Sus scrofa: one gene and its partners. The protein of the gene in region 1 purifies or fractionates together with the protein of each later gene. This does not show direct contact. Links are inferred from orthologs where the notes say so. Each region holds a gene or a part of one and is shown in the gene's direction. Other genes may lie near its edges. The genes, in order: CDK8, MED18, MED23, MED16, MED13L, MED21 and MED12L.

The links.
Region 2: the proteins of CDK8 (region 1) and MED18 purify together in Homo sapiens (affinity purification with mass spectrometry; 5 studies listed by BioGRID and IntAct, counting the BioPlex papers as one, with this or other methods). This does not show direct contact. The link is inferred for Sus scrofa from reciprocal best matches to the Homo sapiens genes CDK8 and MED18.
Region 3: the proteins of CDK8 (region 1) and MED23 purify together in Homo sapiens (affinity purification with mass spectrometry; 10 studies listed by BioGRID and IntAct, counting the BioPlex papers as one, with this or other methods). This does not show direct contact. The link is inferred for Sus scrofa from reciprocal best matches to the Homo sapiens genes CDK8 and MED23.
Region 4: the proteins of CDK8 (region 1) and MED16 purify together in Homo sapiens (affinity purification with mass spectrometry; 10 studies listed by BioGRID and IntAct, counting the BioPlex papers as one, with this or other methods). This does not show direct contact. The link is inferred for Sus scrofa from reciprocal best matches to the Homo sapiens genes CDK8 and MED16.
Region 5: the proteins of CDK8 (region 1) and MED13L purify together in Homo sapiens (affinity purification with mass spectrometry; 6 studies listed by BioGRID and IntAct, counting the BioPlex papers as one, with this or other methods). This does not show direct contact. The link is inferred for Sus scrofa from reciprocal best matches to the Homo sapiens genes CDK8 and MED13L.
Region 6: the proteins of CDK8 (region 1) and MED21 purify together in Homo sapiens (affinity purification with mass spectrometry; 14 studies listed by BioGRID and IntAct, counting the BioPlex papers as one, with this or other methods). This does not show direct contact. The link is inferred for Sus scrofa from reciprocal best matches to the Homo sapiens genes CDK8 and MED21.
Region 7: the proteins of CDK8 (region 1) and MED12L purify together in Homo sapiens (affinity purification with mass spectrometry; 3 studies listed by BioGRID and IntAct, counting the BioPlex papers as one, with this or other methods). This does not show direct contact. The link is inferred for Sus scrofa from reciprocal best matches to the Homo sapiens genes CDK8 and MED12L.

The regions. Positions count from the first base shown.
Region 1 is NC_010453.5:4,113,442-4,116,941, forward strand, and holds part of CDK8 (cyclin-dependent kinase 8), read left to right. Parts: intron 1-891; coding exon 892-1,002; intron 1,003-3,500.
Region 2 is NC_010448.4:85,382,720-85,386,884, forward strand, and holds the start of MED18 (mediator of RNA polymerase II transcription subunit 18), read left to right. Parts: upstream 1-1,365; 5' UTR 1,366-1,566; intron 1,567-2,127; 5' UTR 2,128-2,196; coding exon 2,197-2,269; intron 2,270-4,165. UniProt on the Homo sapiens protein: Component of the Mediator complex, a coactivator involved in the regulated transcription of nearly all RNA polymerase II-dependent genes.
Region 3 is NC_010443.5:31,998,207-32,002,091, forward strand, and holds the end of MED23 (mediator of RNA polymerase II transcription subunit 23), read left to right. Parts: intron 1-247; coding exon 248-379; intron 380-2,243; coding exon 2,244-2,411; 3' UTR 2,412-3,385; downstream 3,386-3,885. UniProt on the Homo sapiens protein: Required for transcriptional activation subsequent to the assembly of the pre-initiation complex. Component of the Mediator complex, a coactivator involved in the regulated transcription of nearly all RNA polymerase II-dependent genes.
Region 4 is NC_010444.4:77,489,629-77,493,752, forward strand, and holds the start of MED16 (mediator of RNA polymerase II transcription subunit 16), read left to right. Parts: upstream 1-1,324; 5' UTR 1,325-1,468; intron 1,469-2,853; 5' UTR 2,854-2,898; coding exon 2,899-3,031; intron 3,032-3,590; coding exon 3,591-3,698; intron 3,699-3,956; coding exon 3,957-4,124. UniProt on the Homo sapiens protein: Component of the Mediator complex, a coactivator involved in the regulated transcription of nearly all RNA polymerase II-dependent genes.
Region 5 is NC_010456.5:36,326,029-36,329,528, forward strand, and holds part of MED13L (mediator of RNA polymerase II transcription subunit 13-like), read left to right. Parts: intron 1-3,034; coding exon 3,035-3,500. UniProt on the Homo sapiens protein: Component of the Mediator complex, a coactivator involved in the regulated transcription of nearly all RNA polymerase II-dependent genes.
Region 6 is NC_010447.5:46,733,582-46,737,627, reverse strand, and holds the start of MED21 (mediator of RNA polymerase II transcription subunit 21), read left to right. Parts: upstream 1-1,246; 5' UTR 1,247-1,262; coding exon 1,263-1,304; intron 1,305-4,046. UniProt on the Homo sapiens protein: Component of the Mediator complex, a coactivator involved in the regulated transcription of nearly all RNA polymerase II-dependent genes.
Region 7 is NC_010455.5:91,270,203-91,274,387, forward strand, and holds the start of MED12L (mediator of RNA polymerase II transcription subunit 12-like protein), read left to right. Parts: upstream 1-1,385; 5' UTR 1,386-1,613; intron 1,614-1,634; exon of another isoform or gene 1,635-1,668; coding exon of another isoform or gene 1,669-2,433; intron 2,434-2,987; 5' UTR 2,988-3,112; coding exon 3,113-3,211; intron 3,212-4,185. Other genes in the region: basic salivary proline-rich protein 3-like, read left to right, coding at 1,669-2,433. UniProt on the Homo sapiens protein: May be a component of the Mediator complex, a coactivator involved in the regulated transcription of nearly all RNA polymerase II-dependent genes.

The DNA.
Region 1 (3,500 bases):
TGCAGCGCTGATAGGAATGTAAACTGGTACAGCTGCTATGAAAACCAGTTTGGTGGTTGCTCAGGAAGTTACACGTAGAGTTATCCTGCGACCCAGCCGTTCCACCCCAGGGTATTTACTCGGAGAATTGAAAGCAGAGACTGAGGTACCTGTCTGTACAGCCGTGTTCAGAGCAGCATTATTCCAGCGGTCACAACGTGGAAGCAGCCAGTGTCCATGAGCTGAAAAGGGGACACACCAGTCGGGGTGGATCCATAGTGTGGAATGTGCTCATTGGTAAAAGGGCGTCAAATTCTGACCCAGGCTACAACGCGGAGATACCTTAAAGACGATGAGCCAAGTGAAACAAGCCAGACATAAAAGGACAAAGGCTGTATGGTTCTCTTATGCCAGGTACCTAGAGTAGGCACATTCGGAGAGACGGAAAGTGGACTAGAGGTGACCAGGGGCTGAGGGCAGAGGAGAGGGAAGCGTTGGTGTTTAGTGGGCACCGAGTGTCTGCGGAGAACACTGAGGCGGTTCTGCAGTGGCTGGTGGGGCTCGTTGCCCAGCACTGTGTGTGTACCCGTGCTCCCGAGTTGTACACTGAAAAATGGTTAAAATGGTCGTTTTTATGTCATATTTTTACATTATATAAAAAACTAAAACAAAGAAACCAACCAAGCAATAACGACTGTACAGACAGATTTACTAAGTTATATCTTTTCCCACAGATTTTTTTTTTCCTCATTTGTTACCAAAGCACCTCTTTAGTATCTCAGAGTTGTGGGGGTACTTTTAGTATTGATTCACATTAGGTTTTAGTATTGCCTTAGAATTGCAAATGGGGTGGGGGTTTTAAAGTGTTATCTTTATGACAAAGATTTTTAATGCATCGCCTTTGTTTTGCAGCTACTTCGAGAGCTTAAGCATCCAAATGTCATCTCTCTTCAAAAGGTGTTTCTGTCTCACGCAGATAGGAAAGTGTGGCTTCTGTTTGACTACGCGGAACATGACCTCTGGGTAAGGTGACTTGCTGGTGGCCGTGGACGTGTGGTTTCGGTCAGGGATTGAGAGGGACTGAAAACAGTCTTAGGAGCTCATCTTACTCTGCGAGGCCCACTGTTAGAATAAAGGTAACCCCATAGAACGCGGTTGATGAGTGACCAAGGCCAGAGCATGGCTCTGTATCGTTACCTCTGATCTTAGCAGCTTGGTCTGTGTAACACACTGCAGAAAACAGTAGACCCTGAAGAGTGTAAACAGCTCTCTAAGAATGGTTTCCTAGCTGTATTTTGCATTTATTCAGCAGATTGTTTTTAAAATGGGATTTATACAGGTCTTAAAAATTATAAAATTTACTCCTTTATTAAATATAAGTTACATTAAAAAAAAACCTAAAGTGCTAACTTGGGGATAAGACTTTGTGGTATATATAATGGAAATCTATAGTAGGATAGCTGAAATAATTTTGAAACATACTCACAAAACTTATATCGTGATCGTTTTTGTATTAATGTGTTAGCAAAGATTTCAGTAGAAGAAACAAAACAAGTAAACAAGTTTATTCATTAACAATTACTTTGCTACTGTGAAATGTTTTTTTCTTTATGTATTTTTTCTGATATTTAATAAGTAATTAGGTCTTTGAATATTTCACTGTGTTTTGCATACCGGTCTGTATTTACCAAAAAGCATGACTGAGTAATTATTGAGCTAAAAAAAAGGGAAAACTTAAACTGATATGCAAGGGATTGTAAGTATCTTGGTTCAGTTTCACAGTCTTCAGAATGATTTTTATTTTCATTGAGCTGTAGTGTGTAAATACAAATTCAAAATTTTGAAATAAAACCAGCACGAATTCCAATAAAACTATTTAAAAGTAAGTTCACCTTCTGCAAATAGTAAAATAATAAAAACTTTTTTGCTTATTTCCAGAAGTAGCTCCATTTACATGATTTTAACTTTAACAGATTTCAGAAATTGAAACTTATTTTAGTTTCATTTGCTTTCAGATTTATAAAGAATATTTTCATCCTGTTTGTAGAGCCCTATTTTCTAAACTAAATGTGATTTGATTCAAGTTATTTTTATTTTTCTAAGTTATCTGGAAGGAATTGTTCTCAAACAGAAAAAAATACACATGAAATCTTCTGTTTTATGAAACTGTTGTCCAAGGTCCGTGATGGTTGTAAATGTCTTCCTTTTTTTTTTTTTTTTTTTTTTTTTTCCGGTTGGCTTCTCTTCTTTTAAAAGAAATCTGATCAAATCAGATTAGGTTTCTATTAATAAAAATTCATTCAATCAGGGTGGCCAATATTGAATTGAGCACTCATCATACTCAAATTTAACAAAATTATATAATCCAAATTATGGAAGTATTTCCAGGCCGGTTTATAAACATGATTTGTAGTCAAAGGTAGTGGAGCAAAGGAGATGGTATGGTATTCAGTGTGGCTTCTCGCCAGCAGGTGTGGAATATTTAATTTTACATGCAGGTATCGTAACTGCTTTCACGAGCTACTACGCTGCCTGTAACACGCTCAGAGATGGTCACCACTGACTTCATCATCATCTTACCGACACTCACTTAAACCAGATAAATACTTTCAATGCTCATTTTAATAAAAACGCAGTAGTGGAGTTCCCGTCGCGGCGCAGTGGTTAACAAATCCGACTAGGAACCATGAGGTTTCGGGTTTGATCCCTGGCCTCGCTCAGTGGGTTGGGGATCCGGCAACGCCGTGAGCTGTGGTGCAGGTCGCAGACAAAGCTCAGATCTGGCGTTGCTGTGGCTGTGGTGTAGGCCGGTGGCCACAGCTCCGATTGGATCCCTAGCCTGGGAACCTCCACATGCTGCGGGAGCGGCCCTAGAAAAGGCAAAAGACAAAAAATAAATAAAGAAAAACCCAGTAGTAATTCAGTTTACTAAAACCTACCCTTTTTCCATTTTATTTTCTTATTTTAATTGGAATATTGAAATGAATTTAGCTGGGTCAGAGGGTAACAAAAATAGTTGCGGTAAAAAGAGTCAAAGAAAGATTCTGTTAAAATCGCTTAGGTGTTGGTGACATTTTATGGTATCCATATCCCATTTGTTTTAACGCCCTGGAATAAAAATAAAAGGTAAGGAATTGCCCCCACTGTTTCTGTACTTAATTGGTAAAAAAAAGCAATTTGTAATGCCCTAATGAAAATAGTAATGAAGAGAAATGTATATGGCATCAATTGATTATTTTACCTTCCTTACGTATTTGTTCCTTTTATTCTTTCTTTGTCAGGCTTTAATTGTTTTGTTCATGTATTTCCATCTTTTTTGTTTTCAAAGCTCTGGGAGCCACTGGTTCTTCTTAAGGTGAACAGGCCTGATCGGCACTGTCATTTCTTAGGACAGGTGCCGAAACACTCTAGATCGCTAAGAGTTATTGTAGCTCTGTTTTGTTTGCCTGCTCGTACATACTCTGAAGAAAATTAAAATCATGTAATGCTGCTCAGAAAGTACAGATTAATCGTGCTCCATC
Region 2 (4,165 bases), on another chromosome or scaffold:
TTGTTCACCCAATTCTTACCTATTCTTTTTTTTTTAATTTAATCCTACTTTTGAAATGTCAGATAAAATGTGGGTAATATTTTTTTTAAGTTTAAAAATGTAAATGAGTAAGACAGTATAAATTACAGCAGGGGAAACTGGAATTATAAATGACTGTATAGGAGTTCCCATCATGGCTCAGCAGAAATGAATCTAACTAGTACCCATGAGGATGCAGGTTCCATCCCCAGCCCCAGTCAGTGAGTTAAGGATCCAACATTGCCATGAACTGTGGTGTAGTTGCAGACTTGGCTTCGATCTGGCACAGCTGTGGCTGTAGCGTAGGCCAGGGGCTACAGCTCCGATTCAACCCTGGCCTGGGAACTTCTATATGCCTTGCTCGGTGAGTTGGGGGTCCAGGATTGCCATGAGCTGTGGTGTAGGTCACAGATGCGGCTCAGATCGCACATTGCTGTGGCTGTGGCATAGGTCAGCACCTGAAGCTCTGATTCAACCCCTAACCTGGGAACTTTCATATGCCAGGGTGCAGCCCTAAAAAGAAAAAAAAAAAAAAGATGTGTAGCAATTAAGAGGGTGGGTTCTGAAATCAGGCAGCTGCTTAAATTTGTACCCCAGTCTAAACTCCCTGGTGTGTTATTTCTTGATGCCTAAGTTTCTCCATTAGTAAAATTAAGTAATAATTATACTTGGGTTACAGGGCTGCTGTGAAGATCAAAAATTCCAATATTTTGTTCATTAAGGATTTTTTTTCCACATTAAATTCGTAAAAGATTGCATTACAATTTTTTGAATTGTTAGGAGTTTTGGTGCCCCTTAAATTTTTCGCTCCAGGGAGTGCCTCAACCACCATACTCTAGCTCCATTCTTTGCATTTTACATGCTTGACACACAAGCAACATTCAATAAATGAGCTGAATTTACTTATCTCCCAAAATTTTTGAATTGAGGTAAAATAAACACAGAAGAGTGAACAAATATCAAATGTATTGCTGAGTTCCCTAATTGTTCAGAACAGTCTGCTAAACAGTAAAAGATGTCTTTCCTTCTTATCTTCAGGTACTCAACCAAAAGAAGTTTTGGTTTTATGATCTCTTTTTTTCTTCAGCTCTCTTCCCCCGGCTCTCTTTTCCCCCTGTAAGTTCCAAAAGAATTCCTTGACAAAAACAACTCCAGGCCGTCACACTTGAAAAAAGGAAAATATTTTCCGGGAGGACTGCCTTTGATGTCAAGGTCCCCCTCACGCCCCGAGGAACGCGCTCAGGAAGGCCGCCCTCTTCCACGCAGAATCGCAGTTTGCGCATGCGCTTCTACTTGCCAGGCCGCAGAGATGATTTTTATGCCTTCCCGGCACCCTTACGTCGCAGAATGGTGATGTCAAGATTTGCGCGACGGAGACTTTTTGCCGGAAGTGGAGGGGAGAAAGTGTTGCACTCCACCGGGGGGTGGGGGTCTTCAAGTTCAGTGCTGGGGGCTAATTATCGCTAAAAAGCTCCGAGGTGCTCTGGTGGCTTCAGTTCCCTGCTTTGCCAGAAAAGGCTAGAACACGCGCGGAGGTGTGTTTTTGGTGTGAGTAGGCACGCGTCGATGGTGGGGTAGGAGGACCTCAATCGTCAGAAGAACTTCGCACTTCTGTCTGGCTCGCTTTCAAAGGCGTTTTGAACGCCTAGATTTTTGTCTGGTTTATCTCTGCCATGGACTTGCTCTGTATCCTTCCCTCCAACCCCCACCCAAAGTGTCAGTATCCTCATCTCCAAATTGAAGGGGAGTCACCTCTCAGTTCTATTATTTCACGGCTATTGTGTCATCTGAGCCACAAAGCCTTGGGGGTTAAATGTCGACCTCATTTTATAAGGAAGACATTGAATCCCAGGGTCAGCGGTTTGATGGCTTATTGCACAGGAAATTCTGAAACTGAAGGTTTCAGACCTTGAGACTGAAAGATTATAACTCCATGATCAGGCCTCCTTTGTGTATTTCTGTATCATCAATTCCTGAAACTGACTTATGGAAGTTGTTCAAAAAGTTCTGGATGAATGAATGAATCTTTTGATGTTAAGGCTAATGACCCAGGTAGATCTGGTGTCTCTCCATCTCTCTGATGTATTAACAAGCATAACTCTTTTCCAGGTGTGTCCTGTGCTTTATTTGACTGGGACTCTGAATCCGGTTCTGTTGCTTTCAACTTAAACAGATAGCATGGAGGCACCTCCAGTCACTATGATGCCTGTCACCGGGGGCACCATTAACATGATGGAGTACCTGCTGCAGGGTAAGTGAACTAGGGAGCTTAGATTACCTGATTTCCTCTTTTCTGTTCAGGTTCCATGGAGATGAAAGGCTAATATACAAAGGCTACATAATTTCTGGCACCTCTTTTTTTTTTTTTTTTCAATTTGGCTTTAATTATGGTCACAAACATATAGCATTAAACATTTTGAGCATAACATTTAGTAGTGTTAAATATGTTTGCATTGTTGTATAGCCAATCTCTAGAACTTTTTCATCTTGCAAAACTGAAACTCTGTACTCATTCTTCCTTTCCCCTCCCCCCAGCCCTTGGCAACAACTTTTCTACTTTCTTTTTTTTTTTTTCTTTTTTTATTTTCTTTTCTGCTGAACCTACGGCATATAGAAGTTCCCAGGCCAGGGATCGAACCCACACCACAGGAGCAGCTCTGGCAGCTACAATGACAACACAGGATGAGTAACCCACTGCACCACAGGAGAATTCCAAACCTTTCTACTTTCTGTTTCTAATTTTGACTACGTTAGATAACTTTATATGAGTGGAATCATATGGTATCTGTCTTTTTATGACTGGTTTATTTCACTTAGTATAATGTCCTCAGCGTTTACCCGTGTTATCACACGAGACAGGATCTCCTTTCTAAAGGCTGAATAATGTTCTATAGTATGTATATACCACATTTTCTTTATCTGTTCTTCTGTTGTTGGACATTCAGGTTGCTTCCACCTCTTGGTTAACATGGATAATGCAGTGAACATGTGTATGCAAATATCTCTTCCAAGATCCTGCTTTGAATTCTTTTGGTTAAATATCCAGAAGTGAAATTAATGGATCATATGATAATTTTATGATACTATTATTAATTCTTGTAGATCAGGAAATAGAATTGAAGTAACTTGCCCAGATGAGAAAGCTCAAAACTCAGTGTAATGATTTTCAGGAGGCCTTATAATGTTTCGCAAAAAAGTTTAGACTTTGAATTATCCATTTAAGAACTTAATATGGAAGTTCCCGTCATGGTGCAGTGGTTAATGAATCCGACTAGGAACCATGAGGTTGCAGGTTCGATCCCTGGCCTTGCTCAGCGGGTTAAGGATCTGGCGTCACCATGAGCTGTGGTGTAGGTTGCAGACACGGCTTGGATCCCACCGTTGCTGTGGCTCTGGCGTAGGCCGGCGGCTACAGCTCCTAGATTAGACCCCTAGCCTGGGAACTTCCATATGCTGGGGAGAGGCCCTAGAAAAGACAAAAAAAAAAAAAAAACTTAATATGAACGAAGTAGGGTTATTAACTTTCATTCTTCCAGCTGTCCCTCCTTCAGTCTTTTCCATCTTAGTAAGTGCCTGTCATTCACCAGTTGCTCAAGCTATGAATTCAGGAATCAATCTCCATTTTTTCACTTTATTCTCACCTATAGCTTATCTCTAGTTCTGTTTATTTTACTTCCAAAATATATATTAAATATGTCTTTTCTCCACATGCAATGGCTTGGTTTATCATCCTTTGAACTATTTTAGTAATTTTGTGCTTATTGCATTGCTTCCACTTTTGATCATCTGTCTCTTCTCACACAATAGTTCAACATCTTTTTTTGGGGGGAGGCAGTTTTTTAGGATCCTTAACCCACTGAGCGAGGCCAGGGATCGAACCCGCAACCTCATGCTTCCTAGTCAGATTCGTTAACCACTGCGCCACAACGGGAACTCCAGTTCAACATCTTTTTTAAAAAATGTTTTATTATTAAAAAATTCAGGGAGTTCCCGTCGTGGCGCAGTGGTTAACGAATCCGACTAGGAACCATGAGGTTGCGGGTTCGGTCCCTGCCCTTGCTCAGTGGGTTAACGATCCGCGTTGCCGTGAGCTGTGGTGTAGGTTGCAGACGCGGCTCGGATCCCGCGTTGCTGTGGCTCTGGCATA
Region 3 (3,885 bases), on another chromosome or scaffold:
TTCTAGAAAAGGGATTGTCTGCCTCTTAATTTGAAGAGAAATTACTACGTTAGGAAAAGAAATTGCATTTAAGCCCTATTAGTGTAGCAGACACCCTGTAGCTCTCTGGATTCCGTTATAAATGCAAGCAATATAGTGTCCTTCATGTGCTTAGAGGTCTGTATAACAGTGACAGTTCCTCAACGAATATGTTATCTATCCTCTCATTTTTGACCATTTAAATCATTTTATCTTGTTTGTTAAATAGATTGGTGTGGCCTTTTATGACATGTTGCTGAATGTAGACCAGTGTAGCACCCACTTAAACTACATGGATCCTATCTGTGACTTCCTGTATCACATGAAGTATATGTTCACTGGCGACAGTGTGAAAGAGCAAGTAAGTTAACTTTATTTTTAAATGATGTTTAGTTTAGAAAACTTAAACATACACCATTGGACTTTGTTGTTTGAGTGAGTAGGGTTTTTTGGTGCATTTTTTTTTTTTTTTTTTCTTTTAAGGGGACAAGGCTAATGGACCTTTTTAGGTTACACGAGCACATTATTCTGGATGTAGTATTAAAGTAAATACCTATTATAATTTCTCACACTTTCCCCCCTTGGTATTTGCAACAAAACATCGAAAAAGACCTGGGGGGTTTATTAATAGTAAACTCATTAGGAAGAAACAGTACATTATGGCTACTGGAAAGATCAGAGAGGCCTTACGTTATGAGTGAAGCAGGGCCTAGCTTTCCCCACAGTGATTAGGATACACTGTCAGGACATCAGACAAACTGCAGTGTAACTAGAGGACTAAAGCTGTCAAGAGAATAACTAATGAAAGGTATTTGAGGGAACCTGGGCTGCTTAACTTGAATTTTAAAAGTCCCAGGGAATTAATTGTATCCTCATTACTATTTAATTGTATCCTTATTACTATTTGGTTGACATCTAGAATCAGTATTAAATTTGTTCTGCATCACTTTAAAAGGCATACAAACTCTGGTGAAGTTAAAGGGAGGCCTGTTCTGACCCAATGTACAAAGAGCCACCCCCTGGTAAGGTGGTCTCAAAGTAGAAAGGACCTCCTTAGATCATAATTGAGGTTTCTGTCTGTGGGAAGCAGAATCTTGGCTCTTTTAGAAGGGTAGAGGGAGGGTAGGTGGAGGTGAAGTTAAGTGATCTCCTCTCCATTCTTTAATGTTATTTCTTTCTAAAATGAGAAAGGAACATAAATTGATACGCATAAACCTGTGAATTCTAGTCTTCGGGATTCATTCTTGGAGCTTGACTCCTTTATGTCTCAGCAAGATTGTCAAAGAGCACTGAATGGGACTAGTACAGAAGTGTTGTGTTTAGCATATCCCTTCTATCTGGGCCTAGGAAACTTTGACCCAATACAGAACACAGGAAGGAAGAATTTTTAATCGGAGTTCCTGTCTTGGCCCAGTGGTAACAAACCCAACTAGCATCAATGAGGATGCAGGTTTGATCCCTGGCCTCGCTCAGTGTGTTAAGGATCTGGTGTTGCCATGAGCTGTGGTGTAGGTCACAGATGTGGCTCAGATCTTGCATTGCTGTTACTGTGGTGTAGGCCAATGGCTACAGCTCCAATTTGACCCCTAGCCTGGGAACCTCCATATGCTGTGGGTGCGGCCCTAAAAAGACAAAAAAAAAAAGAGAGAGAGATTTATTAATGGGCTGATCAAATGAACATTTGAATAAATTAAGAAAGCCATGGAACTGCTTTCTTTAAAGTATTTCTTTAAGGTATCTTAAGTAAGAATAGAGCTAATATTTAGTTTGAATTCCAACTGTTAATCAAAACCAAAAAAAATGTTAGCTTTATAGATAAATCTTATGAACATTAGTTATTCAAAGAACTTTGAAATAGAATCATGCTTCATGCTTCTGTGAAGATGGCATTTTAAAAGGATGGTCACCCTCGTGGATGTGTAGAATTCCCAGTGTGAACTATACTAGCTCTTGGCAGTGGGATAACTGGCTAGCTGGGTACGTGAATATCTTTGTGTATGTGCATGTATATATATATATATATGTATATATATATAAGAGACAGCACATGTTTTCCTCATGTAAGAGAGAAGTAGTTTTATCTGCTTTTGTTAAAACATAAAATTTCTCATCCACTCATTCCACTCCCTAGTTTATTGTCTCATGATCTGGGTAAATTGCTTCCTTAAAGGTAGGAAGTCGAAGTTCTCTGGTTAAAATATCTTTTTAATGTGTTTTCATTTTAGGTAGAGAAGATTATCTGTAATTTAAAACCAGCTTTAAAACTTCGTCTTCGATTCATCACTCACATCAGCAAGATGGAGCCAGCTGCAGTGCCTCCACAAGCCATCAGTAGTGGGTCTCCAGCACCGCAGTCCAGTCAGGGGCCAGTGTCTCTACCTGTGACTCAGTGAAGTCAGAGTGTGCTGCAGTGAAGTGGAAAGGCGTCCGTCTTTGAAAATGGACTCGAATTATTAAATCTGAACATGGTCATGCTGCATAGTGAGTAGTCAAAGCAGTGACGTTCAGATTGTTTTATTTTGATTCAAATGGTGAATCTATTGACTCCAACTCCCTTCCCCCTATATATGTTGTCTCTAAGAGATCAAGTAAGCTACACGCTGTTCATACCTATAACAGTGCATTAGAGCTACCTGGGAACAGGGAAGTACCTACCAAGTGACTTGTACAAGGCACTCTCAATCTTTCCTATTTTGGCCATTGTTTTTGTTTTGTTTTGTTTTTTAGTATTAATGACTTATTCAGTCTTTAAATACATTTTTTAAAGTCACCACACATATAAAATAGTTATTACAAATCCTTTTATACATACATCTCTTTTGGGATATCGTTGGGATAAGAGATTATTGTCAAGTAAAAGACTCTAGAATTCATTGCATTACTGGAGCAAGAATACTTTCATACTCTTTTTAAAATGGCTTATTTTTTTTTTTTTTTATCATAGATACCCAAGTAAATAAGCTAGTTTTTCTATCACAGTATATTGGCAAGTTTTTGCCTTTGCTGTGGACTTGAACTTACTGTATGAAATGAGTTGAAAGCCATGTAAGAAAACAAAGCTAGAATGCATAAACTTAATGAAATGATGCTTAAGTGATGATTATTCAATCTCTGCTTTTAAAAATTAATTGCTTTTCGAGATTGCCATTCTTATCTGGCAGATGATGTGATTCTTTGAATTTTTATAATCTTAAAATTTTTAAGTATTTATATTTTTAAATATCATGTACATTTTGGTTCTTTAGAATTTATTAGATTTTGAGAGACTGTTAATTGGGGGGAGGAATGACATTAAAATTGTAAAAGATTTGAAAAATAATTTGTAAAACCTGTTGAATGAATAAACTGATTAATTACCCAGTTTGAATGAGTGTCTGCTCTGTGCCAGGCAGTGGACTGTCTGGGTTAGGACAGAGAACTGAGCTACTTCCACAGGCTGTACACTATAGTTGGTGACCGTCATTGACCTAGGAGTTAAAGAGTTACTGATTTTTTTAAGAAAAAAAAAGAATTAGTGAAGTTTAACCAACTATACTTCAAATTTTAATTTCCACATACATTCCTCCTAGACCTTTATCTTGGTGGTTCATATTATCATAATTATTTAATTTTTATTGCTGTGCAGGGACACCTTAAAATTTATATAATCATATAAGAATTTTTCCAAACTAATAATATTCTTAAAATTCTCCAGAAATTTTATGCTAGAAATGATTTCAAGTATTACTCTTAACCTAGTCTCAGCAATATATTCTTGCTGCCGCAAGGTATATATTGTTTTGAGATCCTAGAGTGGGAATAATTGTAATACTGCATAAAAACAGAATAAAAGGAAATGAAAATATATAAGGACATACACATTCCAAA
Region 4 (4,124 bases), on another chromosome or scaffold:
GTGTCACCCTGGGTTATCTGCTTTTATCCTGATTGCCCTTCTCACCTGGCCCCAATCAGGGGTCCCTGCTGTCCACAGGGCTCCTCACTGTTGAACCTCACCCTGATCTCCATTTCCCTGAAGATGGATTATCTGCCTCAATTACTGGGAATCCTGCAGGTGACATTTGTCTCTTTCCCCCTGTGTATTTATTTATTTAACTGTTTATATCAGTACAGACGCCTGGACATTCGCTTTCTTGTTTGGGTTACAACACAATATCCTTTCATTTTGTTGCTCAGATTGTTCCAGGTTTGGATACTGGGAGCTCTTTCAGTGATTCCTGTCTCACTGAGGCGGGGTATTTATTTATTTGAGCACCGGGCTCCTCTGCATATTTGTGCTGCCTTCTAGAACCAGGCATTTCGCCCAGGAGCCCAGTTCCTTTCACTGGGGCAACGTTTAGAAACCAAGAACTGGGTGCTAAGTGTGCTGAGTTCCATTTTAACAGGCATTTTAAAAAGTTTTAAACACAGATGCTAAATAATGGAAATCCAAATGGCTCAGAGGACATCAGGAGATACTGGATTAACCAGCTTGGAGGCTCCCACCTGTGAAGGGGACCGAATTTCTGGTGCCTGGAGGCCAGTCTGGACTTCAGGGCGCGGGTGTGGTGGCTCTAGGGGACTCCACAGGCCTCCTGCACTGACACACAGACTCGGTCCTGCGGCTGCCCCTAGCTGGCTGTTTTCTTCCCACTCCGATTCCCTGAGCCCGGCCCCCATACCTTTGCCCAGGCGCTAACTGCAGCCCAGTACACCTTCCCCGAAATATCAGGAGGTCTTCCTAGAAAAGACTTTCCCAACTGGGGAGAGCCCGACAGAAAAAGAACCAGCTTTTGATAGCGGGAGACGAGTGAATCCAGAGAAGCCCACGACTGGTTAAGCCGTCTTGCTTACGGGGAAAAGAAGCAAGGAAAAGCAAAATATGGAACGCTTCACGAATTTGCGTGTCATCCTTGCGCAGGGGCCATGCTAATCTTCTCTGTATCGTTCCAATTTTAGTATATGTGCTGCCGAAGCGAGCACGACACCGGGGTTAACCCGACCGCTATTTATAGGGCGGAGTATAAAATACTTTACGCTAAGGGTGAATTCCGTTTAGAAGAAAAATACTCAGTAACTTGTCTCTTCTTTTCTGATATCAGTGCAACAATAGCTTAACAGAATGAGGCTACTCACTGAAGTTGAGAAAGTGTTCTTTCACGAAATATAATTCGGGTGGCTGTTGGGAAACTATCAATGTATGTATGCAAATTATATCGGTAGTGGGGCGGGGCCGGAGCCGCTGCTGTCCCAGAAGTCTCCGGGAAACGGCCGCGCTACGTGGGCGACTCGTTGATCCGGGGAAGATGGCGGTGCCGTAGCCGCGCCGATAGGTGGAGTGCAGGCCGTGGCCGTCCGCTCGGCTGGGAGAACAGGCCGTCCCGGTGAGCGGGGACTGGGGACTTGGGCGTTGGGCCGGCCTCAGGACGGTGCCTACGGCCGCGGCGGCGACTAGCGGGCCGGGGGCGGGGCCTGTAGGGTTAGAGGGCGGGCCTGGAGAGCAAGGGGTGCTGGGTACGCGCCCGGGAGCACGTTGGGCGGGGGGGGGGGGTCGCGACGGAAACTTGGGGGAAAGTCTGAGGCGTCTGGGAATCCGGGCACTCCGAGCTGGGGAAAATCGGGGCTGGGCCTGGAACCTGATCAGGGGTTGGGAGGTCTAAGGCTGTATTTTCCTGGGGAGGGGCCTGGGGATTCTGGTGGGCTGGAAGGCGGCCACTGGAGACCAGCACCTGGCTATTGGGTAGTGGTCCCTGGGGTGGAGCCTGAAGTGGCAAAAAGAGGCGGGACTTGGAGGGTTGGGAATTTGGAGGTGGTTATAGGGAGGCGAGTTGTTTGGGAGACCCTGGGGAGAGAACAAATTTAAGCTATCCCTGGGAACACAAGGGGCAAATTGGGACTGGGGTCTGGAAAGCAAATATTGTAGGGGGCGGGGCTGGAGAGCTTTGAGGGCAGAGCTTAAAGACTGCTGAAGGGGCCTCTGGGCAGGGCCTTGGGGTTCCTGGCCAAGGCTTGAGGAAGCGGGAGGCCTGGGGGAAGTGATTGAGAAAGATGGGTTGGTCATACAGTCTCATTGGGTTCTGGTAACGGTGAAAATAACCGTAATCAATGCCCGGCACATAGACAGCAGGTGGAAATGTTCATTGTTTCCGTTGCGGTTGTTACCTTTGAAGTGCTGCACCAAGCTGCTGCCTGCCCCCCATCCTGCCTCCTTGCCTCTGCCAAAGGCTTCTCTAAGGATAGAGCAGTCCCACCTCTCCTCACTGCTTCATGGTCCCCATCATTGTTCACCTGGACTGGCATGGTCACCCCCACCCTGTCCCTAAGCCTTTCTCTCCAGACAGCCAGAGGGGTGTGTGAAACATAAGAAGGTCTCAGCTCCCCTGGGGCTCCCACCTCACTCAGGGTGAAAGCGCAGGCCCTGCATGACCCACCCCACCCTCACTTTACCCCTCCCTTCCTCTCACTCAGTTCCAGCAACATGGGCCCCCTGCCGCTCCTTGATGACCCTGGGCTTGGTCCAGCTTCTGGGCCTTTGCACTGGCTGTTCCCCCTGCCTGGGATATCCTTCCTCCAGGCTGCATTCCTGGATCCCTCACTTCTACGCTGGGAGGCCTCCCTGGCCATCCATGTGTCAGATATAGCTCCCCTGACATACACAGAGCAGGGATTGAGTCTTTGGGTCCCTGCAGTGACCCACCATCCAGCACTGCGCTCTGGGCCCTGAGGCCCTGCATGAACGTCTGTGACAAACTGGTCCTCCCTCCCTCAGAAGCTGGTGACCGCCCTCTGTGTATGACCTTGGCAGCCGGGCACCATGGACCTGGCGTACGTCTGTGAGTGGGAGAAATGGCCCAAGAGCACGCACTGCCCTTCGGTGCCCCTGGCCTGTGCCTGGTCCTGCCGCAACCTCATCGCCTTTACCACGGATCTCCGAAACGACGACCAGGGTGCGCCCCCTCCTGCCCCCCGCATGGGCTCGTGCCCCAGTGCCCATGGACCTCCAGGCCTGTCCAGTCTCTCAGGGTTCCCTCATGTGTGATGAGGGGTGGTGAGGGCCCAGAGGGCACCTGGCACCAGGGGGCACTGGAATCACCCCCAGGGGATGGACCTGTCCAGATGAGGGTGGTCCCCAGCCCCTGCTGAGGCTCCTGCCTGAGTTTTCCAGACCTTATATGTCACTGCTTGGCTTCTGAAAGCCTCTGAGCTGCAGCCTGCCTGCTGGGCCTGTGTTCTCGCTATTGTTGAATGACACATGCTCCTAGAGGAAAGGAGAAAAACACAGACATTTTGGATGAGGGGAAGAAAAAAAGGCATTACCTTCCCCAGAGAGCCACTCTCTGTTAGCATTTTGGGTTTGTTTTTTTCCAGTTCCATTTTCTATGTCTCTTTTGAAAGTGGTTGTAGCCTCTCTGGAGGCAGAGTCATGGACCTGCTCCCATTACCCCTGGGGTCATCAGGCACTCGAGGCCCTGCCATTGTTGCCGCTGACCTGGCCCTCCTTTGCAGACCTGACCCGCATGATCCACATCCTGGATACGGAGCACCCCTGGGACGTGCACTCCATCAACTCGGAGCACAGCGAGGCCATCACCTGCCTCGAGTGGGACCAGTCAGGTGAGGGTGGGGCTCACCCTTGATCTCAAATCCCAAGCTTACTTGTTCTGTCTTTTCCTGGTCATGTCCCCACTGTCCAGAACTAGGATGAAAGCCCTGGCCTTGTGGCTTTTCGGCTCCTTCTCCTCCCATTTTTGGTGACCAGAGTCGTTCCTGGGAGACATGTGTGCCATGCCCCTGCTTGTCTCCCATCCCAGGCCCCAGATGTACTGGGGGGGGTGCTTTGTGACACAGGCTTGCCCCCCTCTTCCCCTGCAGGCTCCCGGCTGCTGTCGGCCGATGCTGATGGGCAGATCAAGTGCTGGACCATGGCAGACCACCTGGCCAACAGCTGGGAGAGCCCAGTGGGCAGCCTGGTGGAGGGGGACCCCATCGTGGCCTTGTCCTGGCTGCACAATGGTGTGAAGCTGGCCCTGCACGTGGAAA
Region 5 (3,500 bases), on another chromosome or scaffold:
TGAGACATTCATCTCTTAACTGTGGTACTGTGCCCTGGAGATTTAAAGTCCAATTTCTGCCTTATTGACAATAGTCTTATGCATAGATAACCTTCTTCAAAGTCAGGATTATTTTTTTAAGAGTACCAAAGACTTTGAGTACCAAAGAGTAGTTTCATTTTTTTTTAATTTTAAAGTTTTATTGAAGTATAGTTGATTTACAATGTTGTGAAAATTTCTGCTATACAATATAGCGAGTCAGTTATACATGTACCCACATCCATTTTACATTATTTGATTTTATTTTTTTATTTTTTGTCTTTTTAGGGCTGTACCCGCAGCATGCGCAGGTTCCCAGGCTGGGGGTCGAATGGGAGCTATAGCCGCAGGCCTACACCACAGCCACAGCAATGCCAGATCCAGACCACGTCTGCGATGTATACCACAGGTCATGGCAACACTGGATCCTTAAACCCCTGAGCAAGGCCAGGGATCAAACTGCATCCTCATGGATACTAATCAGATTGATTTCCACTGAGCCATGATGGGAACTCCCATTCTGTTTAAGATGCTTTTGCCATATGGATTATCACAGAATATTGGGTAGAGTTCACTGTGCTATACAGCAGGTCCCCAGTGGCCAGTCATTCCGTGTATCACAGTGTGCATATGCCATTCCCAGACACTCAGTCCATCCCTCCACTACTGCCTGTCTGCTTTGGTAGCTGTAAGTTTGTTTTCAAAGTCTATGAGTCTGTTTCTTTTCTGCAGATAATTTCATTTGTATCCATTTTTTAGATTCCTCATATAAGTGATGTCATATGGTGTTTGTCTTTCTCACCTTTAGAAGTTATAATCGAGATATTTTCAGATGAGACCTTCATCTCTTATTGTGGTACTGTGCCATGGATATTTAAGTCCAAGTTTTGCCTTATTAACAATAGCTTTATGCATAAGCAGCCTTCTTCAAAGTCAGGATTCTTTCTTTCTTTCTTTCTTCCTTTCCTTTCCTTTCCTTTCCTTTCCTTTCCTTTCCTTTCCTTTCCTTTCCTTTCCTTTCGTTTCCTTTCCTTTCGTTTCCTTTCGTTTTCTTTCCTTTCTTTCCTTTTGACTTTTGTCTTTTTAGGGCTGCTCCCAGGGCATACGGACATTCCCAGGCTAGGGGTCAAATTGGAGCTGTTACTGCTGGCCTACGTCACAGCCACAGCAACACCAAATCCGAGCCGCATCTGCGACCTACACCACAGCTCATGGCAACACCGAGCAAGGCCAGGGATCGAACCCAAAACCTCATGGTTCCTAGTCGGATTTGTTTCACTGCGCCACAACGGGAACTCCTCTCTTTCTTTCTTGGACTGCACCCACGGCATGTGAATGTTCCCAGGCTAGGGGTTGAATCAGAGCTGTAGCCGCTGACCTACTCCACAGCCATAGCAACGTCGGATCCAAACCGTATCTGTGACCTATACCATAGCTCATGGCAATGCTATATCCTTTAACCCACTGAGCAAGGCCAGAATCGAACCCACATCCTTCCTCATGGCTAGATATTGGTCGGACTCTTAACCACTGATCCACAGTGGAAACTCCAGGATTTTTTCTTTTTCTTTTCTTTAACTTTTTTTTTTTTTTTTTTTTTAAGAGTACCAAAGACTTTGGTAAGAGTGTTTTCAGATTGTCTGCTGCAGGATTACCAACCCCCTTATGGAAAGGTCCACCCTTCACACTGTTTAATGGCTTTATAGGGCAGGGTGGCCATCCTGCTGTCCCACTAAACCATCCCATTATACCACACAAATTCATTTTACTGCTCACTAGGGCATCATTTAGTGCAGTGCAGCAGTAATTTAATGCCACCCTGGTGGCCTCAGAGAGTTACTGCTACACTGGCAGGAGAGCTTACATTTTTCCATGGGAATGAGTTATATATTGGGAGGAACTGGCTAACCTGTTATGTAACTTTTTTGCACAGATTAAATCTTAGCATCATCTAGTGGGCCCTTATGGAGAAAGCTTGCCTTGCTTGCCAAGAGGTGTATTAGGATGTGAATAGACTTGTTATTCCTGCTTATATAGTATAGATACCTTTGTATATGTGCGTCATTTTAATATTCTCACAGCCTTTTTACTTGTCTCATTTTAACCTGTTTGTGTAAGATCCGAAGTTGTCTTTTATACAGTCTTTCTTAGATGATAGTAGCATATAAGGTTCGTAGTATACTATTTATCCTATTGAATATTCTTAAGGCTGACCTTATTTTCTTAGTTTCCCACTTTGGGGGAGAGTTGTATAGTTATTTTATTCCTGAATTACAACTTTGTAAGTTTTATAAACCATTCTATATTGGACTTACTAGCGTGTTGTAAAACAGAAATTGAAAGCTTTTTTTTTTTTTTTTTCTTGACAGATGGTCTCATTACTCTTGGTTTTAAAATGCAACATGAACAGATTATCTAAGACCCTCATCAAATTTGAAGGATTTGGGGATTTTTCAAATTAGTATTTTTGTAGAGGTTATGAGTATCATTTTAATCAGTGTTTCTTAAGTCTACCTCTTATCTACCTAACTTATATGTGATTGGTTCATCATTTTCTCTTAGGGGGTTTTGCATTTTTTAGTCCTTATGAATATATTTAACACCTGGAGTTCACTTAAATGTATTAGTGCACATAATGTATGTTTTAAAAGACAGAACCTTGTCAGAAGTGTCTCTTCCATAATATTACAGTGATGCAGGAGTTCCCATCATGGCTCAGTGGTTAGCGAACTCGACTAGCATCCATAAGGACATGGGTTCGATCCCTGGCCTCCCTCAGTGGGTTAAAGATCCGGCATTTCCATGAGCTGTGGTGTAGGTCACAGACACAGCTCAGATCTCATGTTGCTGTGGCTCTGGCATAGGCCGGCAGCTACAGTTCCAGTTGGCCTCCTAGCCTGGGAAATTCCATATGCCACAGCTGTGGCCCTAAAAAGACCAAAATAAATAAATAAATAGAATGATGCATTTATTTTCATCTGCGTATCTATTGACTTCATTTTAATTCTCATTTCAGGCATAAACTTTTAAAGCGTTGTGCAGTAGGACCTAGTCGACCTCCCACAATATCACAACCAGGGTTCAGTGCAGGACCATCATCATCTTCATCTTTACCACCTCCTGCTTCTTCTAAGCACAAAACAACAGAAAGACAGGAAAAAGGAGACAAGTTGCAAAAGAGACCCTTGATACCATTTCATCATAGGCCCTCTGTGGCCGAAGAGTTATGCATGGAACAAGATCCACCAGGACAGAAGCTAGGGTTGGCAGGGATAGACTCCTCCTTAGAGGTGTCTAGCAGTAGGAAGTATGATAAGCAAATGGCCGTGCCTTCCAGAAATACAAGCAAGCAAATGAATCTGAATCCTATGGATTCACCTCATTCCCCTATTTCCCCTCTGCCGCCAACACTCAGCCCTCAGCCACGAGGTCAGGAAACGGAGAGTTTGGACCCACCGTCTGTCCCTGTGAATCCAGCCCTC
Region 6 (4,046 bases), on another chromosome or scaffold:
TGGGTCCTGTTCTTAAAACCACATGCTCCAGTTGGGGATTCAAGAAAAGCACATGAGGAGTTCCCGTCGTGGCCCAGTGGTTAACGAATCCGACTAGGAACCATGAGGTTGCGGGTTCGATCCCTGCCACTTGCTCAGTGGGTTAACGATCCGGCGTTGCCATGAATTGTGGTGTAGGTTGCAGACGCGGCTCGGATCCCGCGTTGCTGTGGCTGTGGTGTAGGCCGGTGGCTACAGCTCCGATTGGACCCCTAGCCTGGGAACCCCCATATGCCGCAGGAGCGGCCCAAGAAATGGCAAAAAGACAAAACAAACAAACAAAAAAAAAAGAAAAGCCCATGAAAAGGCATATGTGAAAGTGTCGAAATCATAAAAGGAGAGAGGAGTAATCCATGTGGACTCTAGTAATTCATAAAATTTACATGAAAATAGTAAAACTTAGAAAAAAACCCCCTTTTTTTTTTGGCCGCACAGGCATGTGGAAGTTCCCTGGGCCAGGGATTAAAGCTGTTGAACCAGTGGGATTTGGAAGACCCTAACCACTGTAGTCGGATTCTTAATCCACTGTACCAGTGGGAACTCCCAAGTATTCTTTAGTTGTTCATTGTGTAGGCCATGTGGTCTACCTAGAAAGCCAAAGCAATGTAAAATAGGTATTCAAGGTGATGTTTAAAAATGGATACAAACCTTGTGGCTCAGCAGGTTACAAACCAGGGCTAGTATCCATGAGGCTGCGGGTTGGATCCCTGGCCTAACTCAGGGGGTTAAGGATCTTGAGCTGCAGTGAGCTGTGGTGTAGATCACAGATGCAGCTCGGATCCCTCCTTGCTGTGGCTGTGTCTGTGTCTGTTTTGCTGTAGGCTGGCAGCTACCCTCTAGCCTGGGAACTTCCAGGAGCGGCCCTTCAAAAAAGAAGAAAAAAAAAAAAAAAAAGATACAAAGAGGATAGGGAAACTTACTTAGAAAAACCGCGAATCCAGTCTCCACAAAGTGTTTACTTAAAAGCCATGAGAAAGTACATTGGCTCACCCCAGAAGCCCCCAAATTACTAAACGTGGGCCCAGCGGAGCTTCCCCCAGGTGCAGCTGGTCTGAACAAAAATAAGCCTTAGGAAAGCCCAGCCGCTTAGCGCGGGGAGTGGAGTTCGGCTTGACTCCACCCCCTCCACGAACTCAGCCCTGTGATTGGTCGTGACGCTTACCAAAGCTGCCCAATTGCATCCGAGCAGCTGCTTTAGCGTCTCTTTGTTTGCGGGGAGAAACATGGCGGATCGCCTGACACAGCTGCAGGACGCCGTGAACTCGGTGAGCAATTGTACTCGATTAGTCTCCGTCTTCTTTCCTGAGGGAAAGCAAGTTAGAAAAAGGGACTTGGGGGGCAAGCTTGGAAGTGGGGAGCGTCTTTCCGCAACGCACGCTCGGGTCGGCGGGAGGCGGCGCCGCGGTCTGTGAGGCCGAGGCGGCCGGTGGAATGGTGCGGAGCTGCGGGAGCCCGCGGCCTCAGCCTGCGAGGTGGAGGGTCTCCCTGCCTAGTCTCAAGCCTCACGGCCTTGTCATGTTTTCTAGGAACGGCTTTATTTTCTTGTCAGCGGTGCTTATGGGGTCGCCCCTCTTGCGGGGAAGAGAGAGGAAGCGGAAACTCCCTCCCGCACCCATACATTTTAACCCTTGGAGGGAAACCCGTGTTCTTAACCATTGGATTGGACCTTAGCGAAGAGTAATCCTTCGCCCAAATTTTCAGGTTGGGGCGGGAGTGACGGTAAAGTGAGTAATTTTGTTTCATCTCGGTTGGTTCCTGTAGACTAAGGGTCGTTGCATCTCTTGGCCACTCCCCCAGCGTAAGTCAAGTTTGGGGAAAACTGACATCTTTATGATAGTGAATCTTCTGATCCTTGTCTCTTTAAGTTTTTAAAAATGTCTGCCAAAAGTTCTACTCCCTATTAAAGTCAGATCTTGTAATTGGCCCTCTTACTTTGAACCTTCTGATTATTTTTCCTGTTATGTGAAGTGAAAGTGATGCAAACCAAGGGATTCATATGCTTATTACCGTTAAGAGCTAAATTGTTTTCTATCGGTAGTTACATTTCTCTCATTCTGTTTGTAATTTGATGTCCCAGAGAAGATGCCTATAGATGTTGACAGGAAAATCCAGGTACCTCTTGCTAGTTTTTTTTCTCACTAGAAGGAAATAGGCTGGCATTCTTGTTATTGCTCAGTCTTTGTACGTGAGCAATAAGTGTGAATGTACACATATTGAGTGTGAATCTGCATGTTAAAAACTGATCTACTTTGCCTATGAGGGCCAGCCCCTAAATGTCGATGAATTCACCAAGGTAAATTCTACCTTTGGTGACTTTTCTGGACTACTGAACAACCTACCTTGGGGAGACAGTCCTTTGAGGTTTTACAAAATCAAATTGTAATGATGCTACTTGATAGAAATGTTATTTTAGGGGAAATATCGCATAGTCATCCATGTCTCCTGGCCAGAAGGATAGTAAGAACAAAGTGAATATGGCCTTTACTCCAAAAGTAGGCATACTGATTTTGCAAAGAAGCCTCTAGGTTAACTAGTATGTGTAGAAGCACTATAATGTTTATGGAGAGATGCTCCTTAAGGAGTTTGCAGTCTGATTAGAAAGACGTCATATACTCAAGAGACATTTAAATAAATGACACAAAAGCAGTATATGGTTAGGGAGTTGAATCGAGTGTTTTCAGCTGTAAGTGCTGAAGTAAAGTGGGCTAGTGAGTGCTGTTAGGAGGGAGTCTTAGTGTTTTTCTGACTCATAATTGTAAAATTTTTAAAATATAATTTTATCCTCTGAGAACTTCATGAGAGCAGAAACTGTCTTGTTCACGCTCTAACTTAGAATGTTTATATAGTTATATACAGTTGATATATCATAGTGTTGATTTTTGATAAATATTTGGTGACTAACTGGATCTTGAGAGCTTCATAAGGACATAGTCACAGTGTTGAATATTCTTGTATTTTCTCTGTTCCTCATAACAATGCTGTAATGTGAGAATATTCCCAATTTAAAATTTCTTTTAAAACTCTATTTGCCAGAATTAGAATCCACATTTGTACAGCTTCAGAGCACTTATGGCCACTCCCTTACATTTGCAAAATGTGAGCAAATGCAGTGTTATCAGGAATGAATTTATCACTAGTCAGGAATATGAAAGAGTAGTAGGTAATGAACAAGTTGAGTTGACCTAGATTATTGAAAGCTTGGAAAGAGCCTTAAAGAGTTGGAGATTATCTTGAAGGCAATGCTAGGGTGAGCTCAAGATTTTTGAGCAGGGTTAAGTAAATGACATAGTGAGCTAGAAAATCATGAGGCTATTGTAAATAACTCTTATGTGAGGTAATTGGTTGAACTAAAACAGCAGCGCGATGGAGGAGGAAAAGGTAAAGATTTGTAGTAGTATTAACAGGATTTGAAGATGAAAGTTGAGAGTCTGAAGGTAGATTGGTTGACTAGAAGATTCTCAATACAAATTAAGTATTAAAGGAAACAGTTAACTTTGAGTTCTGTCATTCTAATGATGGCAGTCAAACTTAGTGGAAATACTTATTCACTGATTGCAGATAAGGAATTGAGGTTTAAGAGGTCAGGACTGTTGAGAGAAGTTGGTGGGGAGGGTAAGAGTCTTAGGTTTGGAAATAGTAATGTTACCAAGCCAGATGTGTTTGCTGAGGGTGCAGTAATCCAAACACTGAGATGCCTGAAGTTTGCAGCAGAGGAGGGCTTTATTTATTCAGGAGACAGCCAAGTGAGGAGAAAGGAGAACAAATTTCAGATTGCTTCCCAGAAGGCAAGAAGCTTGAGGTATTTATGGAATAAAGAAGCAGGGTGGTCTCAGGAGTGGGGAAAGGTGAGGTATTGGCATATATTTCTGTTATTTTATGATCAGTGGTCCCAACTATTCTTAACTGGTCTGAACTGGGTGGAAGCCCACTTCAGATTTTCCAAATTTCTGGAAAACAACTTAATAAGCTCCTCTTACCTTGGTGACCCATACATCAGGAGCATTATC
Region 7 (4,185 bases), on another chromosome or scaffold:
TCTCAGCTGCAGCTCTGATTCCACCCCTAGCTTGGGAATTTCCATATGCTGCAGGTGCTGCCTTAAAAAAAAAAAAAAAAAAAAAAAAGGTAGGGAATTAAGAAGGGAGACCAGCAGAAAACTGTCTTTCACTTTTACCCAAACAGTAGACACACTGCTAACTCATTTTGATTTTAAAGTCTTTATAGTTAGATAGCATTTTGAGTCCTTTACAAGTTTTTTCCTTTGTGGAGGACAATTGGAGGCCAAGATATTCTAAAGGAAGAATTTAGGTTACATCTCCCTACCAGATTTGTGTATCAGCACAAGGCATACCCAAGGTACCATCAGTGATCAATCTATCCACACACCTACTCACCCACCTAGCATCCATGCCACCAGCCAACAAGCATTTTTTTGAGAGCTCGCTATAGGCCAGGTTCCATGTTAAGTAACTATGTTGCAGCAGTGAACAATTACTGTCCCCTCCAGTGTATGTCACTGTTTCGGGGGGTGGGTGGAATTAAAAGAGAATGGCAAAACCTTGGTAATTGTCACAGATGGGAGATGAAATCTTGGGGGTTCACTATGCCATTTTTTCTGTGTAGTGTTCTGATGTATTGACAATTTTCCTAATAAAATTAGGTAACTGTCTAATTGCTGTTTCTCAAGCAAGGAATCTCGATTTGATGGATGCTTATACCCCAAGCGCAAGTTCAGCTTTGAAGTTACACCTAGGGTATAAATGGAAGAGAAATCCTTGGGGGAGGGTGCGGAGAGCTGTCAGGAAATGCCTCTTGGTGGAAGTAACTGTTTTCTAAAAGTACTTGCTCAGACTGAGTAAAGATTTCAAAAACTACAGGCCTGACTTGGCTTCAGGGAAGTGCTTTGGGAAGTGCTAATAGGTCAGAGTCGGGAATGAGGAACTAGCCTCCTACAAAGTTGCCATGCCTTATCTACCCTTTTCTCACCCCTCCCCTCCATCCTTTGCTCAAAGTCGGCAGTGTTAAGTAGATCATTAGGGTTAGCCAGCATCTCCTGAGCACCTACTATGTTCCAGGCACTGTGCAAAGGCTTTGGGTTAGATTCTGCTTCCATCATCTTATAGAGGATGGAACTAGGAGTCTGAGAAATTCCTTAAGGTGGGAGAACCTGACCTTATCGGGCAAGGGCATTTCAGGCCTTCCAATTCCAAGTCGTGGAGAACTGATCAGAAACTTAGGATCCGGCAGAGTTTGCTTTGTGGCTTTGAGCAAGCCACCAGGTCTCCCTAAGCTGACTTGATTTCTCTATCTATAAAAAGAGTACAGTAAAGCCTTGTAATTTTAAAAATTTATTTTATTTTATTTTTTTTAAGGATCAGAGACCTTTACTGCCAAGACCCTGGCACGAAGCAAGGGCTCCATAAATGGCAGCCATCATTCTTGGCCGAGCGCATCCTCCCAGGCGCGCCTCCCGTGAGGTCCCTCGGGACAGACTGGGCCCGCCTCCGCGGCTCCGGTCTAGCAGTGCTCGCGGCAGGTGGCCCAGCATCTGGGTGCCCACGCCCCAAAGCGAGCGGGGAGCGCAGGCGGATTGGATGACCAAGGTCTCCCCTGGAGGATCCCTTCCCTCCCTCCGCAAGCCCGGCGCAGGTGAGGTTTCCGGCTCAGGCCGAGGGGACAGCGACTTTAGGAAAGGTCGAGGAGGATGGCGCAGGCTGCGGCCGGGAAAGGGATCCTGGGGGCGCCCTCTCCCTTGCCCAGTTTCACCCCAGGGCCAGCTCCGTCGCCCCGGCCCGCGGGCTGCGCGCTCTGCGGCTGTGAAAACCCGGAGAGGCGGATCGGAGCGCGCTCGCAGCCAACTCCTCCGCGGTCCGGCAGCCGAGCTGGGCATGCTCAGTGCGGCCGCCGCGCCGCCGTCCGCCAACTCGGAAGCTCGCGCTCCCGGGCCGTGGGGGCGAGAACGCCGGCGGCGGCGAGCCGGCGTCGCCAGCCGCCCCCAGACAGTGGCAAACTTCGCGGCGTCCCTGGAGCTCTCCTGGCCGAGACCGATACCTTACAAATCAGATCAAAGCCAGTCCTCCCCCCATCCCAGCCCGAATCATGGAGGCTGCGGCCGCCCAAGTGCCGCCGCTGTCGGCGGCCCCTGCCCACTAGCCGGGGACCAACAGGTAAACTGTTGGGGGCGGGGGTTGGGAGGGAGGAGGAGCTGCGGCTGGGAAGAGGGCGGCTGGCAGGAGGAGCTCGAGACGCCCGCGGACTAGCTGCCCCCGTCGGCTCTCGCTGCCAATCCTCAACCCCCCTCCTTCCCCAGCCCCTGGAGGGGCAGCAAAGGGTTAAGTCGGCCCCGAGCCACCGTGAGCACGGCCCCCTCCAGCCGCCGCGACCGCCAGCAGTGCGCCTCGGCGCCTTCCCAGAGCCGCCGAGGGGACCCGAGCCGCGGATGCGCCACCGGAGCCCTGTGGGCGTCTAGGAGGCTTTGACCGCTTCCTCACCGTCCGCATCCCTGACTCCCTCATTCCCTCCAGGCCTCTCTCCTAGGCTTCCCTCCTTCCTAGCCAGGTCCGCGCCCAGGTGGCGAGGTCTGCGGGGCGCGTGGTGGCGGGGGAAGGTCTCAGCCGAAGAGCGGGGCAGGGGCGGGCCGCTCCGCATTCTCTCCCTCGGGTAGGAGGGCCACCCTTTCCTTGGGCGAGCACTTGAGCCACCCGCCTGGGGCGCCAAGAAAAGTTTTTTTTTTTTTTTTCCCCCCCCGTGCCCTTCCCCCACCCTGCGCCGGGCTGGGTTGGTTTGGGTCCATTGGTGAAAAAAGTCACACGTTCCCATCAGCTGCTCCTCCCCCTGGGGACTGGGTGGAGGGGACCGGGGGCGGGCGCCGCGGAGGACCCTGGCAGACCTCCAAGCCCCTCCGGTAGCGGTATGTCCCAGGGGCTCCAGCGCAGCGGGGTGCCAGCCTAAGGCTGCCCCCATCAGTGCGTGTCTGCGTGCCGGGCAGCGGCAGCATCCAACCTGCTTTATTCCTGCCTGCAGCGCCACAGCGAGCGAGCAAGGAGGGGGAGAGAGGGAGTCTGTCTGCAAAGTGCTGCTCCCTGGTGCTCAGAGGCGGCTGCTCCAGCTCCAACTCTCATTCATTTCGCCGGTTAACATGAGAGATCATGGCCGCCTTCGGGCTTCTCAGCTATGAGCAGAGACCGCTGAAACGCCCCCGGCTCGGGCCGCCCGACGTCTACCCGCAGGACCCCAAGCAGAAGGAGGTAAGGGCGCCGGCGGCCTCTCCCGCAACTGGAGCCGCGCTCCGCAGCGCTGACCCGGGGCCAAGTTGGCCCAGCGGGGCATCGCCGGCGCTGCGGGGGAAGGGTCGGCAAGCGGACTGGCGGCGGGGTTTGGGCTGGGGGCCTGGGGAACCCCCGGCAATGGAGACGGAGCAGTTGTCAGTCTCCGCGCTCCACTAGGGCGCTAGCTAGCTCTCCCGGTGCCGGGTCGCTTCCCTGTTCCCGGGCCTTGCACAGCGCAGCCGGGCGCTTCACCCGGTTCTTCCTTGCGGAAACCCTCCAGCTCCCTTTCCCCCGCTTCAGCCTGCTTTATTTTTCTCCCCGCCGCTTCGGTAAATCCTCGTAAACTTTTTGAAAAATGTTGGAATGTGGTGCATCCGACACAGGTCTTGGGATTTGCGCCAGCTGAGCAGGGAAGGGGGTGGGGTGGGAGGAAGATCCTTTCTGTTCGAATTTTCCAATTTAGAGTGGAAGTCGTTTTTATCGAAGTGATGGAATATTTACTCTTTGGACGCACTTCTGTTTCCCCTCTCCCCATAAAAAATCAATGTAAAAGGGAAACACTAATTTTCATCGCCGGGCAACTGGCTTAATTACTGGAGGCTGTTTTGTATATGTAAAAGCAGTCGGGTTACCTTGGAAGGGACTAGGTTCCTGAGCTGTTAATTTCTTTGAATGAAATTAATTGGAGAAACCTGACTCTTGCTCTAGATACACTAGCTTCAATGGCTAGAGTAACCATGACATTTTGTAGCCATGTATATGTTTGTAGTTAACAAGTAATTATGTAACAACTCTTCAGTTATAATGATCACCCCTGGCTACACAATTTGCCCAGGGATTTGCCTTTTTTTTTTTTTTGAAGATCACCTGCTACCCAGCTGTGCTTTCTGAGTTTGCCAGCTGCAGCCCACCCATCCTCTGTTTTCTTGAGCTACACATGAAGTGAGCCTATT